2 linked regions of the Arabidopsis thaliana genome follow. The protein of the gene in region 2 purifies or fractionates together with the protein of the main gene of each other region. This does not show direct contact. Each region holds a gene or a part of one and is shown on either strand. Other genes may lie near its edges.

The links. The genes of interacting proteins can lie anywhere in the genome.
Region 1: the proteins of VTC4 (region 2) and IMD3 fractionate together in Arabidopsis thaliana (co-fractionation; one large-scale study listed by BioGRID). This does not show direct contact.

Annotation. Positions count from the first base shown.
Region 1 is NC_003070.9:11,140,627-11,148,657, forward strand, and holds IMD3 (isopropylmalate dehydrogenase 3), read right to left. Parts: upstream 4,092-8,031; 5' UTR 4,037-4,091; coding exon 3,642-4,036; intron 3,573-3,641; coding exon 3,461-3,572; intron 3,390-3,460; coding exon 3,225-3,389; intron 3,151-3,224; coding exon 3,064-3,150; intron 2,985-3,063; coding exon 2,868-2,984; intron 2,772-2,867; coding exon 2,664-2,771; intron 2,580-2,663; coding exon 2,373-2,579; intron 2,286-2,372; coding exon 2,217-2,285; 3' UTR 1,835-2,216; downstream 1-1,834. Other genes in the region: AT1G31175 (cytochrome C oxidase biogenesis Cmc1-like protein), read left to right, coding at 1-279; IMPL1 (myo-inositol monophosphatase like 1), read left to right, coding at 4,235-4,534, 4,718-4,785, 4,896-5,029, 5,128-5,216, 5,317-5,374, 5,440-5,492, 5,585-5,797, 5,884-5,985 and 1 more; PP2-A9 (phloem protein 2-A9), read right to left, coding at 6,297-6,692.
Region 2 is NC_003074.8:625,492-633,692, forward strand, and holds VTC4 (Inositol monophosphatase family protein), read right to left. Parts: upstream 4,435-8,201; 5' UTR 4,192-4,434; coding exon 4,179-4,191; intron 4,096-4,178; coding exon 4,040-4,095; intron 3,955-4,039; coding exon 3,904-3,954; intron 3,780-3,903; coding exon 3,699-3,779; intron 3,615-3,698; coding exon 3,511-3,614; intron 3,414-3,510; coding exon 3,329-3,413; intron 3,188-3,328; coding exon 3,133-3,187; intron 3,000-3,132; coding exon 2,956-2,999; intron 2,868-2,955; coding exon 2,799-2,867; intron 2,709-2,798; coding exon 2,608-2,708; intron 2,497-2,607; coding exon 2,440-2,496; intron 2,351-2,439; coding exon 2,251-2,350; 3' UTR 2,021-2,250; downstream 1-2,020. Other genes in the region: AT3G02860 (zinc ion binding protein), read right to left, coding at 97-143, 238-313, 508-790, 984-1,143, 1,343-1,442, 1,578-1,666; ILR1 (Peptidase M20/M25/M40 family protein), read left to right, coding at 6,502-6,861, 6,956-7,081, 7,330-7,644, 7,737-7,865, 7,970-8,201.

The DNA.
Region 1 (8,031 bases), on a different chromosome or scaffold from region 2:
AGAGAGATTCCGATGAAATCTTGCGATCGGTTGGAGGAAGCGTTGTTGCAGTGCCACCGTCGGATGCCGGAAGGACCGGCAAGGAGATCCGGTTGCAGACATTTGAACAAGGCGTTTGCGGAGTGCGTGGTGGCGGAGGCTTGTCCGGAGGAATCAGAGGCGGTGAGGTCTCTTTGCTCTAGCGGCGGAACAAGCCTTAAGCGTAAACAGTGCGAATACGCTCAGCTTTCACTTTCTCTCTGTCTCTCTCGCCATCAGCGAGAGTTTGAGCAGCGTTAGATACGGTGGTTTTGTTGTTGTTGTCGGCGAAAGGTTATTTTGGATCTTGTGAGCTACGTAATTGGTAAAATTAGGGTTTTAAAATTCTGATTCTTTTTTCTGCATCTGTTGGAGATAGTAAGGATGGATATTTCTGGGAATTTGAATATGTTCATCATCAAATGGCAGAAGAATGATTTAAGGAAGGTTGTGAATTTTTGTTGAATCTGTAGTAATCCTTTATATGGTTTTGGTATAATGAATTGTGTAATCAAGAATCCGTTATTCAGATTTCTATAAGCTGCTCTGAACTGAAGCAGGAGCCATTGTGGTGGAATCATTTCCTTTTGTTAGCTACTTTCAAGTTTTGGCAGCTGTTGTTGGATTCAGAAATAAGGCTGTTTCTGTTTTTGTGTAAGATGTTAGATTCAATGAGGTTTCGAGTGTGATCAATCAACAGCCTCAGGTCTATTGGTTACTACCAGAAGTTTTGGTTGTTTGTCTCAGCTTCAGCATCTTGACTTGACGTTCAATCATCTGACTGGAACTTCATCTCGGTTCTTGTTCTCTTTGCCAAACATTAGTTACTTAGACTTTGCATCTAACAAGCTCAGTGGGAAGCTACAGCATAATCTGACCTGTGGAGGCAAACTTGGATTTGTCGAATAACAGATTAATTGGGACCCCTCCCCGTTTCTTTTCCATTATTGGCAGTCATGATCAGCATCAAGAATTCGTAATCGAAGAGGCTGAAACTGAGGGAAAACAGTTCCAAGGAAGAAAGATTGGGATTTTGGTTGCTGTCCTTGGTGGAGATGTATTTGTTCTTGTGTGTATAAACCGCTGCTCTTGCTGTTGTTCAAGAGAAAGGTCAGTGCCTCAAACTCGGCTTAAGGTTGTGACAGAGATAACTCACACACCAGTCTCTCCTCCGAAGTTCTTGCTAGTGCAAGTGAGTAACTTTGACTCAAATTGTAGACCTCCGCCTGGTGGCAATTGTCTTTCAGGAATTTAATATCCTTGTACGACTTCGTCTTGCAGGGTTAATCTCTCAAGCAGCAAAGCTAGGTGCACAAGGTGTGCCCTCATTCCGGTCATTTTCTTTTGAAGAGTTAAAGGAAGCCACAGACGATTTCGATTCATCACGTTTCTTAGCTTTGGAATTATGCAGGAAAATGGCTAAAACAGAGGGCGATGTGTACAACTTTGGATTCATACTTCTGGAATCTCTGATAGGACCAGTACCTACTACAAAAAGGAGAGGCCTATCTTCTCAACGAAATGGTATCATATAGGGTAAAGAAAAGAAGCAAATCTTCATCATTGTTAATAGCTGTTGCTGCAATGTTGTATTTGCAGACGTCATTTGGGAGCCAAGACTGTCGACAGAAAATAGGAAGTCCAACGGTCCTAACAACAAGCTCGCAGGAGTCTTTACCCAATTGCCATCTCAATCGCCAATAAATGTGTTTTGCTTGAACCTTCTGCAAGACTTCCTTTAAAGATGTTCTCTGGAACTTACCATATGCAGCTCAAATGCAGTCTGCCGCAGACGCTGAACGCAAATCTGATAAGTCGTCGTGAATCCAAAGGCTAACCTGATGATTGATAGTTGTTTTCGGATTTATAAATGTTATGTTTTATAAGTTTGGTTTTTCAGTAGAAAAATGTAATACTCTAGCGGCTAAAAAACATAGTTTCTTGTCTCTCTTGAAACTTTATTCGTTTAACAAATATTGATTGAAGAAGATGTTGAGTTTTGTAGTTGGCGAGAACTTCTCAATCTTCAAGAACAAGGTACTGAGGCAGGAGACTTGTCAAATGTTCTTGGAGAATTTTGTCTTTGAATTGCAGAATCGATCCCAAATATTTTATTATTATAAAAGCTACAAGAATACAGTTTCTAATACATGTATTAGCAAAAAAGTAACAGTAAAACCAAGGGCTACACACTTTTCTTAAACAGGAACTTTGGAGTCCACTGATTTGAGAACCTCCTCACCCATTTCCTTGCATCCCACCAGTTTCTGCATTTTCAAAACACAAAAAGACTTCTTTAAGTATATTGTCATTAACTTATACAAAACAAAAGACAGAAATCATCATACACATACATTTCCGGGGGAGTAGATGTCTCCGGTTCTGAAACCTTTGTTCAGAGCATCCACGACCGCGTCTTCAATCATCTTTGCAGCCTTTTCTTCTCCAAGTCCATACTTGAGAAGCATCGCCGCACTGAGAATGGTGGCCAATGGGTTTGCCTTGTCTTGTCCAGCTATATCTGGTGCTGAACCATGTATAGGTTCAAAGAGTCCAGGTCCCTAGTTTTCATCACAAGTTTAACAATCAATATATGATAATAATAAACAGAGGAACCTTGAAATATTAGATTTAGTCTTACTTACCGATTCACCAAGACTTGCAGATGGAAGCATCCCAATGCTACCAGTGATCATTGAAGCTTCATCAGACAATATATCACCAAAAATGTTATTGGTGACGATTGTGTCAAACTGCAATAATGTTTTTAAAAATGCCGTGAGTACTACAAGTTCCACTTCTGTGTTAGCTTAATCAACGGCTAAGCTTTATATATGCGCGAAGATCACCTGTTTCGGGTCACGGACAAGCTGCATCGCAGCATTATCGACATACATATGTGATAGTTCAACATCTGGATATTCAGAGGCTAAAGCTGTTACTCTTTTCCTCCACAATATTGATGCCTATACGAAACAAAACAAAAAAATAATTGTATAACGAAAAACACACAAGAGTGGAGTGGAAAAACAATTCAAAACATACATCCAAGACATTGGCTTTGTCAACAGAACACAGCTTGCCACGCCTTTTCCTAGCAGTCTCGAATGCAACACGAGCAATTCTGTCAATCTGAAGAAGATAAAGCAATGCATTAATACACATACATTGTCACAGAGCAGCAGATTGTGAAGAGTAAGTAGTACCTCGTGAGCAGCGTAGATCTCTGTATTAAAACCGACTTCTTCGCCATTTTCGTTGATCGTAATGCCTCTTGGCTCTCCAAAGTAAATACCTCCAGTGAGCTCCCTTACAATCATCATATCAACACCTTGTGCTACTTCTTTCTTCAGTGTGGAAGCATCAACTAGCTGAACAAGCAAAAACAGAAAAATTTGAGTATATTTACAACTAGAAAGCAAAGTGATAAGCAAATCAATACCTGTGGTAAAACTGTAGCAGGTCTCAAATTAGCAAAGACATTGAGATCTCTTCGAATGTTAAGCAGACCCATCTCAGGTCTCAGATGTTTCTCATTCTTGTCCCATTTGTACCTGAACAAAAAATCATCATAAAGAGAATAAATTTGCTGAAGAAACAACACACACACGCATTACACATACCCTCCGATAGCTCCAAGAAGAATGGCATCAGACTGTTTAGCAGCAGTGGAAGTTTCCTCCGGCAATGGAACTCCGACCAAATCCAAAGCTGCTCCGCCGAAAGGCATCTCCTGGAAATCAAACTCTAGTCCTTGGAGAAATCCAGCTTTCTGAAGCACATTCTTAGCAACAGATATAACTTCTGGACCGATACCATCGCCGGGAAGCAGAGTGATGTTATACCGTTTTTTCACCGGTGAAGCGGCGGCGCACCTAATTCGATACGGCGCACGAAACTTATGATCGGTGAGAGAACTGTATCTTCCCGGTATGATCTCCAGACGGATGTTAGTTTGCAAAAACGCCGCCATCTTTTTTTCGAGTTTAGGGCACCACCATCGGCAAAAACTAACCATTTGAGTATACTACAGAGACCGGTTATCTCTGGTTATTTGTTAACCTGATTTTGGTTCAATGTTCTCATTAATTTCAATTTTAAGTTCTATCAGCTTTTTGGACTCTCTCATGTCCACCATCCGTTCACTTGGCCGCGTTCATATAAACCAAAAACCGAACAACAACAAAAATTCGAAAATTCTCCGGCGACACCAACAATGGGAAGGTCTCTAATATTCTCTGGAAACATGTCATTGAGAATCTCTCACTTACCCAGATCATCTCTTCCGCTGCAAAACCCAATTTCAGGCCGGACAGTGAACAGAACTTTCCGATATCGGTGTACGAGGATTTTGTCTAATAGCTTCAAGTCCACAACGAGACTTCAAACCAAAGCTGTTCTGTCTGAGGTTTCTGATCAGACGCGATATCCCAGAATCGGCGCTAAAACCACCGGAACTATATCTCCGGCACACCTCCTTGAAGTCGTTGAACTCGCCGCTAAAACCGGCGCTGAGGTTCGAAATTTCATGTCTGTAGAATACAATATCTGAATTTATGTTTATTGGAAACAAAAACTCTTGATGAGACTTGAAATTGTGTTCAATGGTACTAGAATCAAGTTCTTGGGTTCGTAGGGCACAACTGCACAAGGAGAATAATAACAAAACTAACTTGAATTGAATCATCTGGTTTGTTAGGTGGTTATGGAAGCTGTAAATAAGCCAAGGAATATTACTTATAAAGGTCTCAGTGACTTAGTAACTGAGTAAGGACTTCTTCACCTTTTAAAATTGTTAGCTTGAGGTTTTAACTATGTTCATGTTGACTTGATTGGTTGAAGCTATTAAAGTTTTAGTACTTTTGATGAATTTGCAGTACTGATAAAGCAAGCGAGGCTGCTATTTTGGAAGTAGTGAAGAAGAATTTTAGTGATCATCTTATTCTTGGTGAAGAAGGAGGTATCATCGGCGATTCGTCTTCTGATTACCTCTGGTGCATTGATCCTCTAGGTTTAGCTCTCTTTACAAATCTCATTGCTTTCTTTTCATGTGTTTGTGTGGAATCTCTGAGATTTTTAGTATTAGTCTCTTAATTCCTTTATGCATAGATGGAACTACAAATTTTGCTCATGGATATCCCAGTTTTGCTGTTTCCGTCGGTGTTCTGTATCGTGGAAATCCCGCCGCTGCTTCTGTGGTAAATCCAATATATACTTGCACAAACCAGCTAATGCTTGTTAGTTCCTATTTGCTGATTCTTTGGTCAGTAGGATTAACAACAAAATCTCATCATGCAGGTAGAGTTTGTCGGTGGTCCGATGTGCTGGAACACTCGAACCTTTTCTGCAACTGCAGGTACTATGTGACAAGCTTATGTTTGGCTATATATCTAAATTTTGTCTAACTAGTTCACTTCTTAGGTGGTGGAGCATTGTGTAACGGGCAAAAAATTCATGTCAGTAAGACCGATGCTGTAAGTAACTTATCAAGAATCCAATTTTAAGTTTCGACATGGTGTGTTCAATGGTTTTGGTTTATTAGATATTTATTCGGGTTTGAATGAAGGTGGAGAGAGCACTTCTTATCACAGGGTTTGGTTATGAACATGATGATGCATGGAGCACTAACATGGAACTGTTCAAAGAGTTTACTGATGTGAGTCGGGGAGTGCGAAGACTCGGTGCTGCTGCAGTTGACATGTGTCATGTTGCACTTGGGATTGCGGAATCATATTGGGAGTACCGTTTAAAGCCATGGGACATGGCTGCTGGTGTTCTTGTAGTCTTCTTCATCCTTCTTGTTGTTTTTTTCTTACTAAAGTACTTAAGTTGTAGAGCTTAATCCATGTCAGAAAATGGACACAGATAGTTGAGGAAGCTGGAGGAGCTGTGACTCGGATGGACGGAGGGAAGTTTTCTGTGTTTGATAGGTCTGTTTTGGTCTCCAACGGCGTTCTTCACCCCAAGGTTTCATGAACTGTTCATACTTTTATCAATGCTTTTAATCTGTTGTGCTTAGAGATCAGGTCTCACATATTTTTTGTTTAATCGGTGTAGCTTCTGGAAAGAATTGCACCCGCAACTGAGAATTTGAAGTCGAAAGGAATCGATTTCTCGTTATGGTTCAAACCGGAAGATTATCATACAGAGCTTTAAGACTTGTTCAAGAAAGGTATATAAGATTACATTGTTATGATCTAAAGCTCTTATATTTGAACTGAAACGAGGTATAAGATTTGCGTTCGGATTATGAAAATCAATAATGATCATATTCCCCCTTACACTTCTTGAACAAAGGCTTCGTGGATCAACAGACCTGTCTTCCATCGTCCAGTCCACACCTCATACAGACCAAACTGAAGCTTAGTATCTTGGTTAAGCGCTGTGGGACTAACCAAGATTTCAAACAGGCCATCGGACTCGTCAGGTATATTGACGGGTTCTGATCCACCTTTCAGTATACCAAAGTTCTGGCTAACGGATTTGATTCTTTTCCACACTGTCTTGCCTTTCTTCCCGATTTTAGCAGACATGAAAACAGGGGCTTTGTCCCAACCGGTCGCATCCGGTTTAAACGAGATTTTAAAACCGATTCGATATGTTTTCCCGGGTTCAATCTTGTCGAATGAACCGGTTACTTCTAACCAACTCACCATCTTCAGCTCAGCAGGCATCCTAAAACCAACAATCAAATGAATCAGTTTAAGATTTTTGGTATCAGTAAACCAAAGTTGGGTTTATCGGTTAAGTCGGAATGAATCGGATGATACCTTGGTTCTTTAGGGATAACCCAATATCTCGAGTCACCTCCCCAAACAAAGTTAAGACCACTCGGTTGTGAAATCCATGCTTTTCTATTGTTCTGCAGAATTTAACAAGGAAAATACAAAAGCAAGATAAAACATTTTTAATCAAAGTTTGGTGATTTCATTTAAAAAGATGTTGCAAATTATCTTCAATAGCAAAGAAAAGAAACTCACATCTTGTTCCATTTTGGAGTCTGCCTTATGATGCGAACTCTTTTGTGAAGACATTTCTTGATTTGCCTTTTTTACAGTAGAGAAATAACAAAACCATATCTCTCGAAATGAGCTTTATGTAGAGTATTTATTTTCTCATGTCAAAAATTCAAAGTAAGATTGTGACAGAAGAAGGAAAAATAAGTAATTTACACAAAATCCTGACTTTTCTTTCGTTGGAGGGACAAAGTTAATAAAAATGCTTCAACGGCCAACGAGAGGGAAAGCATATATCCACAACTTGTTGGTCTTAATGTGAATAAAGAATCTGAGAATCAAACAGAGCAATTAAATGACATAAATTTTCTTCAAGTGCCAAGCTTATTCTTTCCTTCTCTTTTTTCCATTTTCTTTTGGACTCATAATCATTTTACTCATTTACTCAAGTTGTATCTCTTTTATAATAATCTCATTATTCACTCATTGCTGAAACGATTAGAGAAAGTTTCAAGCTTTTGGTAAAAAAATCGTTTCTTTCTCAATAATTACATTAGGGTTTTACACTACTCTTTTATAGACATTGTAGAAGGAGCTAGATATGGAACAGTCTAGAATATGGCAGATGCTGTGTAGCTGGCTATGGTGAGTCATCAGGCAAAACGCCCCTCCTCTGTACGATCGTTGCTCTGTTTTGAGCTGGAGTCTATTTTGTCTTCTTCTATTTGACTGGGCTGAGATGGGCCTTTTGTTGTTGTTGGGCCGGTTACTTGTTTGTTGCTCACACTCCCCCTCAAACTTGGAGTGGGTGAACCAGACACACCAAGTTTGCTCCTGAGATCAACAAATGCTCGGCGTGGAAGTGACTTTGTAAACACGTCAGCTAATTGAAAGGTAGCTGAAATGTGTTGTGTTTCGATCAGACCGAGTGCGACCTGCTCCCTGATGTAGTGATAATCGGTATCAAAATGTTTTGAACGATTGTGGAGAGCCGGATTTGCAGATAGGTACACTGCGGAGAGGTTATCACAGTAAACTTGTGTAGGAAGATATTGGG
Region 2 (8,201 bases):
AATAAGATTAAAAGGAGAAGCCAAGTGTTTACTTAATCTTAAACAAGTCTCAACATTTCCATCTTCTTGCTATAACAAAGTAATGAATCAAATTACCTTTGCTCTCGTTGTTCCTCCTCTTCTATAGTTTCCGCAGCATCAACCTGACAATTAGAGTGCGAGAAAAGCGATTTTAAGTTTAAGAAAGAGCTTATGATACTGTCAGCAATTTATCATAGTGACAGAAAGTTATCTGACCTCTTCTTCTTCCATGCGGCTATCCACTACCTGCAAATCATCTTGTATCAACTTCTCAAATTCTTTATATTCATCCCTGTAAGAAGATCCATGTTTATATAAGTTCACGAAGAGAATTCTTAGGTACAAACCCATAAGATCATATGAACCATTCAAATTGAGAATGTAGGAAAGTAACTGGATCACAAGGTCCACAACAATGAGGTTTCACTTTGATTTTCTGCATCTGGAAAAGTAAAAGCAACAAAAAAAAAAAGAGAAGAAACTCACTTGATATCTGGTTTGACGAGCTTGATTCCATGGGCAAGCAGGTCAGCTTCTTTATTATCAAAAAAACCGGTTGGAAGGTTTCCATTCACCATTGGTTTTGTTTCTGGACCAGTGGTCTGTGTCTGACTCTGTTTAGGTTCACTGGTGGTTTTGGTATTTGAAGAATCAGTTTTCTGATTATCAAAGAATCCGGCTGGAAGAGGTCCCTTTGACTTATTTGTTTCAGATCCTATAGTGTGCTTTGATTGCTCTAAATTCTTGGATTTTGCTGGTTCTACTTCTGCTGCACATATATTTGATCAATAAGTTTTTTTTTTCGATTGACGAATGAAACTATCATCAATCTTTCAAAAAACCTAAGACTAGAGCCTTTAAGCATGGCATCCACATAACTAGCACCTAAACCAAAAGCCTTCTACTAAGAAAATTATTCGAAAAAGATAAGAACAAGAAGAGGAAAGTGCATTAGTCATTACCTCTAGCAGGCTCACGATTTTCGAAGAAATTTGGCGGAAGACCAGATGATGTCTGAGAATTGGATGATTTAGCCAAAGCTTCAATTTTCGTTGGCCGAGTTTCAGCAGGTTTGCTACCCCGTTGGACTCCCGCTGCACTAGCCTTGAGACTATCAATGGCCTGTCCAAACGTTACATTACGAAAGCTAAGTTAATAAGATTAAAGAACATAAAACAGAGAATCTAACGCATAAAATCATATAAGAGCATGAAATCTACCTATCTTCAATGTATGTAATTTATCAAATATCCCATTGTTGTTACTCAGGTTATAAGAGATTGTGAAGTAAAGCTTATGGAGCAGAAGACACTAAGTTTACCTCGTGGTGCTTACGAGAAGCTTGATGTACATCCCAGAGTGATTCAGATTTCAAGACGACATTGCAAACTCGACACACAGGCTGGTCTGATTCGTTGTACCTACAAATCCAAAGAACAAACTCTTCATCCCAACTACAGCTCAAGCCCAATCCCCAGAACCCACAAATATTTGGAATTGTAGAAACCCAGAAGTGACATCGAAACGAAGAGAAGAAGAAGCTAACAACGGTTTACCTAACGAGAGGAGAATCTATGCGGGTGTCTTTCTTCTTGGCGTTGAGTTTAGACCGGAACATGGCCTTCTTCTTCGCTTGAGCATCCATCACTCTCCTTCGTAGCAACCCACGCAACTCCCAAATTATCACAACCTCGCAAGGAATACGAAGATCTGAGAAATTTGTTCTATTCAAATCAAACCCTAAGTCCTTAGAGGAGGACAACAGTCACCGTGAGAATCAAAATTCCTCCCTCCGTTCTTCTCCGCAATCTCTTCTCTTTTACGGGTCGGGTCGATCCAACTCGGGATTAGACTTGAGACTTTCGGGATGCTTCTGGGTCGTTAGTCGTAACTGGGCCGGACTCATTATCCCCATTTTCCTCTGTTGTTAATTTAGTATGGATCACAAAATACCTTAAACTCCACCTTTTATAAAAAAAAAAAAAATGCAAACTCGATTACAAAGATCAACTACATGGAAGAACAGAATTATATCATTCAATACCAAACATATGATTTTTTTTTAATTGAATTCACAAAGGGTAGCAGAAAGAAAATAGTTTTTTTTTTTTCTCAACAATTGAGTTTGTTTTCTTTCTACCGAAAAGAAATATTCAATAATGTTAAGTTTTTGAATTGAGTTTGATCATATAAGGTTGAGACCATATTGTAAAATAATAACAGATGACTTCATGCCCCTGTAAGCCGCAACGCCTCAGCGAATAACTCCTTGAGAGAAGCGTTTGAAGCCGCGATCCTCTGCGATGTTATGTCCAAATCTTTACCGGATCTGATGAACAAAGACGACATAAAACAGTTAGTTATAATCAGTTGGACGGTTTGAGAGTGAGTGTGTTTGGTTTAATCTCAAACTCTTACGGATCAAAGATGAGTCCACCAGCTTCTTTCACGATAACAATTCCTGCTGCAATGTCCCTGTGAAAGATTTGATATTATTATGCCATCATCAGGATCTAATTTTGTTTGTACAAGAAAGAAATCCCCTTTTTTAATCCAAGCAAGGAAAAAAAAAAGAAGACAATTTACCATGGACCACCGAAACCGAGCTCGTAGAAGATATCAACCCTTCCACACGCAACGCCACAGAGGTCCAGTGCACACGAACCACTCATCCTAAGGGACCTGACCTGATGAATGAAGGACACAACAATCATGAGTTTTGGCAGAGACTAGAACCAAATTGGTGGAGTTCCAAATATCTATCGATAAACTTTTACCTTGGTTAGCAAACTGTTGATTCTGTTGGTTGTATCGTCTAATGTAGCTTTATCTCGTTTAGTACCCGCCTATATTCAATTGGTCACATTAGCGATGAGAGGAGGCTTCATAGCAATCTAGTTTTAGTAGTCTAACACAAAGGAGCCAGATTTTTACCTCTGTCACGAGCAAAGCGGTTAAAAGTTCGCTTTGAGCTGACACTGCAAAAAGAACATTGTTTGAGTTGAAAAGAAGGAAGAGAACTCAAGTCTCTGAACAAGTGATAGCTATACTCCGGATGCCATAAAAAGAGATCAAGAAATTTTTTATTAGGTCTCTAGAACAAGTGCTAACCTTTGATTCGCTTTCCATTCAAGAATGCTCCTTTCCCTTGGACACCGGTGAATAGCTGTTTGATCATTAGATATTATGTAAGAATTGAGAAAAATCTTGAAACATGCATGTACAGAGCACCATCAAGGAAACTATGTATAATGGTAAGTTGTAACGATCGAAGAAACTTGAAACAATGGAATACACAATCTTTTACCTCTTCCATAATAGGATTATAAACAACTCCAACAACAGGGACTTTTCCAATCGTAAGTCCAATGGAAACACACACGAAAGGGAACCTACAAAAAAAAAACAGCATTTGTTTTTGTTTTTGATGAAATGGGCAAATGAAACACACAGGTCATTCAAATGGGAATTGATCAATAATGATAATACCCGTGAACGAAATTGGTTGTTCCATCAAGAGGATCAACAATCCAAGTTGGTTCGTCAGTTAGTTCTGTCACACCAAATGCAGCTGTAGTTTCTTCTCCTATGAACTAATAAATTATAGCAAAACTCTAATGATCAACGCGAGGAAGAAGCCAACAAAATGGGAATTCAAAAGAAGAAATAATCACCACCTTGTGATTGGGAAAGAGCTGCTTGAGATGATTAAACACAAGTTCTTCACATCCTTTATCAGTCTCTGTCACCAAATCCACCTAAAAGCAACAATTTAAGGAGCCATAGAAGATAATTTCAAAAAAAAAATTGACACTCTTAAGTAGCCATTCCCACTTATTGAGTGATTGAAACATTATCTGAGCGGAGGAAAGAAACAAAAACCTGGCCTTTGTGTTCAACATGTTTAGTCTCGTAAAACCCTTTACGAATGATCTGCAGAACGCAAACCAAAAGGAGCCAGATTAAATAACGATTAGCCAAAATATCGATCAAAACTCAAGGAGATCGAAAGATAGACCTGTCCAGCTTTTTTAGCGGCATCAATGGCGGCAGCCAAAAACTGATCTAGAGAATCTGCGTCAAATCAATGTCGCCCGAAAGAAAATGAGGAAACAGGGAAATCAAATAAGGTTTGCAGAGATTGATCGTGACTTTACCATTGTCCGCCATTTTCGAGAGAAGACGAAAAGAGTGATGCTTTCTTTACTTTGGGATGTGTTTCAGAGAAAACCAAAAGTTACGGTTTTTGTGGTTAGGCACAGAGCGAATATTCGAGGCATCTAATCTTATACTGTATTATATTAATTACCCAATTAGGCATCCGAAATCACCCAATAATCACGGTCCGATATGGGAAATAAGAGGATTTCAGAAAATCCGTTATACAAAAAGCTAACCAATGATCATTTGAAGATTAGATTTCACCTCAATTTTATCATCCAACTTTCTCTTGACAAAACCCGCATTCTGTAATCAGTTCTCTTTTCCGGGTCGGACAGACCCGAGTCGGGTTTGGACTTGAGACTATTGGACTGGACTCCTTATTCTGAATATGGGCCGGAATTCTTTTTTTTTAGAACAAGTGCATAACACGGAAGGAAAAAGATGTTCTAATTTATTCTGAATATGGGGCCGGAATGATATTGGTGCATACTTGTCTTTCTCTGGCTGGTTCACTTACATTGATGAGAAAAATGCGAAGAACACTTTGAAATCGGTTTGTGATCAAGAGACAAAGGAACAATCGTCTACTGCTTCTGCCGTTGTGTGGACAAGAAAAACTCATTCAACACCAAAATTATGTTGTTTTATTTTTCCGATATTTTACATTTTGTCTTATAAATCTCATGATATAACAGTAGCCCCTTTCTGAGAAGAGATTTGTTTTGCATACTTGTGTAATTTACATTTAAAAAAAACACAGATCAACAGAAGAACAGAACTAAACACTAACACTCTAAACGAGACCACCTCTCCAACACGAGACATCAAACGCCACACATACACAATCTCTGCAACCTAAGAACAGAACTAAACACTAACACTCTACAATCTACTTGTTCATTCTTGAGAAATCAAAAGTCTCTATTCACCTTCTTCTTCTTTCTTCTTCTTCGAGAGAAACGAAAATCAACAATCTTTTTCATCTATTTCTCTTTGGAGAAGAGAAGCAAAGCATAGAAATGTCCATCACTTTATATTATTTGTTGTATTCTCCATTCATAGGCAAAGAGAGAGAGAAAGATGTCTTCATCATAGCTAAGCTTTTGGTTGCCTTAGAGATAGTCTCGACCTTTCTCTCGTTCCAAGACAGCGATGACGCTCTCTGCTGCTCTCGGCGGAAGATACAGCCAGTCCCAACGTACATGGACTTTGAAGTAGGTACTAACATGAACGTAGACAGTGTTGTGGTTAGTATACTTTTGAGGATCGGATCATCAACCTTATCAGTTGATTCTTCAACTTAATTAAACTCATTATATAAAAAACAAAATATTTATGTGACCGTTAAGAACTTAATTGTGAAAGAAGAGGAAATAACAGAGAAAAAAGGGAATTGTAATGTGACCGTTAATTGTGATTAGCAATATCCCTTTTTCTCTCAAATAATAATTGGGGCATTTGCAAATCTTACACTTGACTTCCTTGAAAAGAAAGCCTCTGTTGCGTAATTACAATTTGCATTTTGGTTGTATGTTTGTGATTGTTTCATAGGTCTATTCCACAACTTTTTACCTTTTTTATTTTTTTACTCTCCACAACTTTGTACCTATAACTAAATAATATAAAGTCACAATTTTGTACGGATATTCTGATGTTTCATTAGTCATTTACATTTTTATTGATTATGTTCGCATGTACAGCTACTTTCGTAAACAGCTTCTTTTGTACGAATTGTTCTAGAGAATTTTCGATCATAATCAAAATATAAACAAAATGTTTAACAATGCGCTTCAAATAGGTGGGCCTTTGTTATAAGTAATTTAAAAGTCGAAGAACCCAATGGCCTATATGTCAATCAAATACATGGGCCTATGTTATAAGGAATTAAAAATTTAAGAACCTTAAAGGCCTACATGTGATTCTCACAACTCTAATTCATGCCATGTTTTATTTTAAAAGTGTTAATTTTCATTAACATAAATGGTAAAATCGTGTATTAAACGTACTAATTCATTTCAAGTAAATATTCCTTTTATACCGTAAATATACTACATTGTATCATTTTCATATTTTATCTTTGGTATTTCATTATTTTCTTCACATTACAACCATAAATTATGAATTTCACATTAGAGGCGTATACGTATTTAAAAACGATTAAAAGAGTTTCCAAAAACGTGTGTAAATTACGTACTATATAAATATTAAAAATGGATCGGTGATCCAACTCCTTCTCCTTCATCATCATCGTATTCACCGTTGTCCTTTCTTTCATTGACACTTGCCAGTTTACATCGACAAACAAAAGAAATCAGAATGGATTTCTCAGGGAGCTTCTTTGTCATCTTCGTTACCTTCTTCTTTCTCCCTCCTCTGTCTTCAGCTGGGAGCTACGATTCTGGTTCGGGTCTCGAGTCACTCGCTCGCGGGATGCTTCATTCAGCCAAGGATCCTGAGTTCTTCGAGTGGATGAGAGGAATTAGGAGAAAGATTCATGAGAACCCAGAGACAGGGTTTCAGGAGTTCAAAACGAGTCAACTCGTTCGAGACGAGCTTGACTCGCTTGGAGTGAAGTATAAGTATCCTGTGGCGAAGACTGGCGTCGTCGCTTGGATCGGATCCTGTTCGAAACCTGTTTTCGGACTTAGAGCCGACATGGACGCACTTCCGTTACAGGTTTGAAATCTAATAATCAAAGTTCCGATTTTTACTCTGATTTTTAGATTGCTTTGTTTGACTAATGAATTTGAAAAAATGGGGACAAAAAAAGGAATTAGTGGAATGGGAATCGAAAAGTAAAGTAGATGGAAAGATGCATGCTTGTGGTCATGATACTCATGTTGCTATGCTTCTTGGTGCTGCTAAGCTTCTTCAAACCACAAAACACCTCATCAAGGTCTCTCTTTTTTCTCTTTCACTCAATTTATATGTATAATTTTGAATGATTCTGTCTGTGCCCTGCAATTAAAACTCATTTCGATGTGGGTTAGTGTTTTCTAAGATTCTTAGATATATGTGTGTGTATGTCTTTGATTGCTAATTGTTATGTGTGTGTGTTTTCTAGAGTTGTTAGTGTGTGTGTCTTATGAGAGTTTGGTGAATCTTATGAGGGTTTTGAACGAAAACACAATTTTTTTGCAACAGGGGACAGTAAAACTTGTGTTTCAACCAGGCGAGGAAGGTTATGCAGGTGCTTATGAAATGCTAAAAGACGAGATTCTAGACGACTTAGATGGGATACTCAGTGTTCATGTCTTTCCATCGATCCCATCAGGTGGTATTGGTTCTAGGCCTGGGACCGTTCTTGCAGGTGCAGGATTGTTTACAGTCACGGTTCACGGTCAAGGTAGCCACGCAGCTACACCGCACTTCTCTAAAGACCCGGTTCTTGCAGCTTCTTCCGCTGTTGTTGCCTTGCAACAGATTGTTTCGCGGGAACTGGATCCACTCGAAGCTGGTGTAAGTTTGCTTTCCACTTTCAAAGCATTGGTGTTTGATGAATCAGAATCTTGGCTGAAATCAGCGGAGATTGGTTTTTTTATGTTTCTCAGGTGGTTACAGTTGGATATATTGAAGGAGGTCATGCTCAAAACGTAATACCGCAGAGTGCGAAATTTGGAGGTACTTTCAGAAGCTTAAGCAACGATGGGCTTCTATTTATCCAAAGACGGATCAAAGAGGTAAAGAGATTGTTTTTTACACCATTTTTCTATACAATCTTGTTCTACTATTCGAATAATGTAGGTCCCTAACCCTGTTTAAATGTTTCTTGATGATGATGCAGATTTCAGAGGCACAAGCATCGGTATACCGATGCAAAGCAGAAGTAAACTTCGAAGAGAAAAAGCCGTCGCTTCACCCGGTAATGAATAACGACGAGGGCTTATACGAGCACGGTAAAAAAGTAGCGGAAGCGATGATTGGAAAGAATAACTTCCATGATTTCCCGGTGACAATGGGAGGAGAGGATTTCAGCTTCTTCACTCAAAAGACTAAGGCTGCGATTTTCGTGCTGG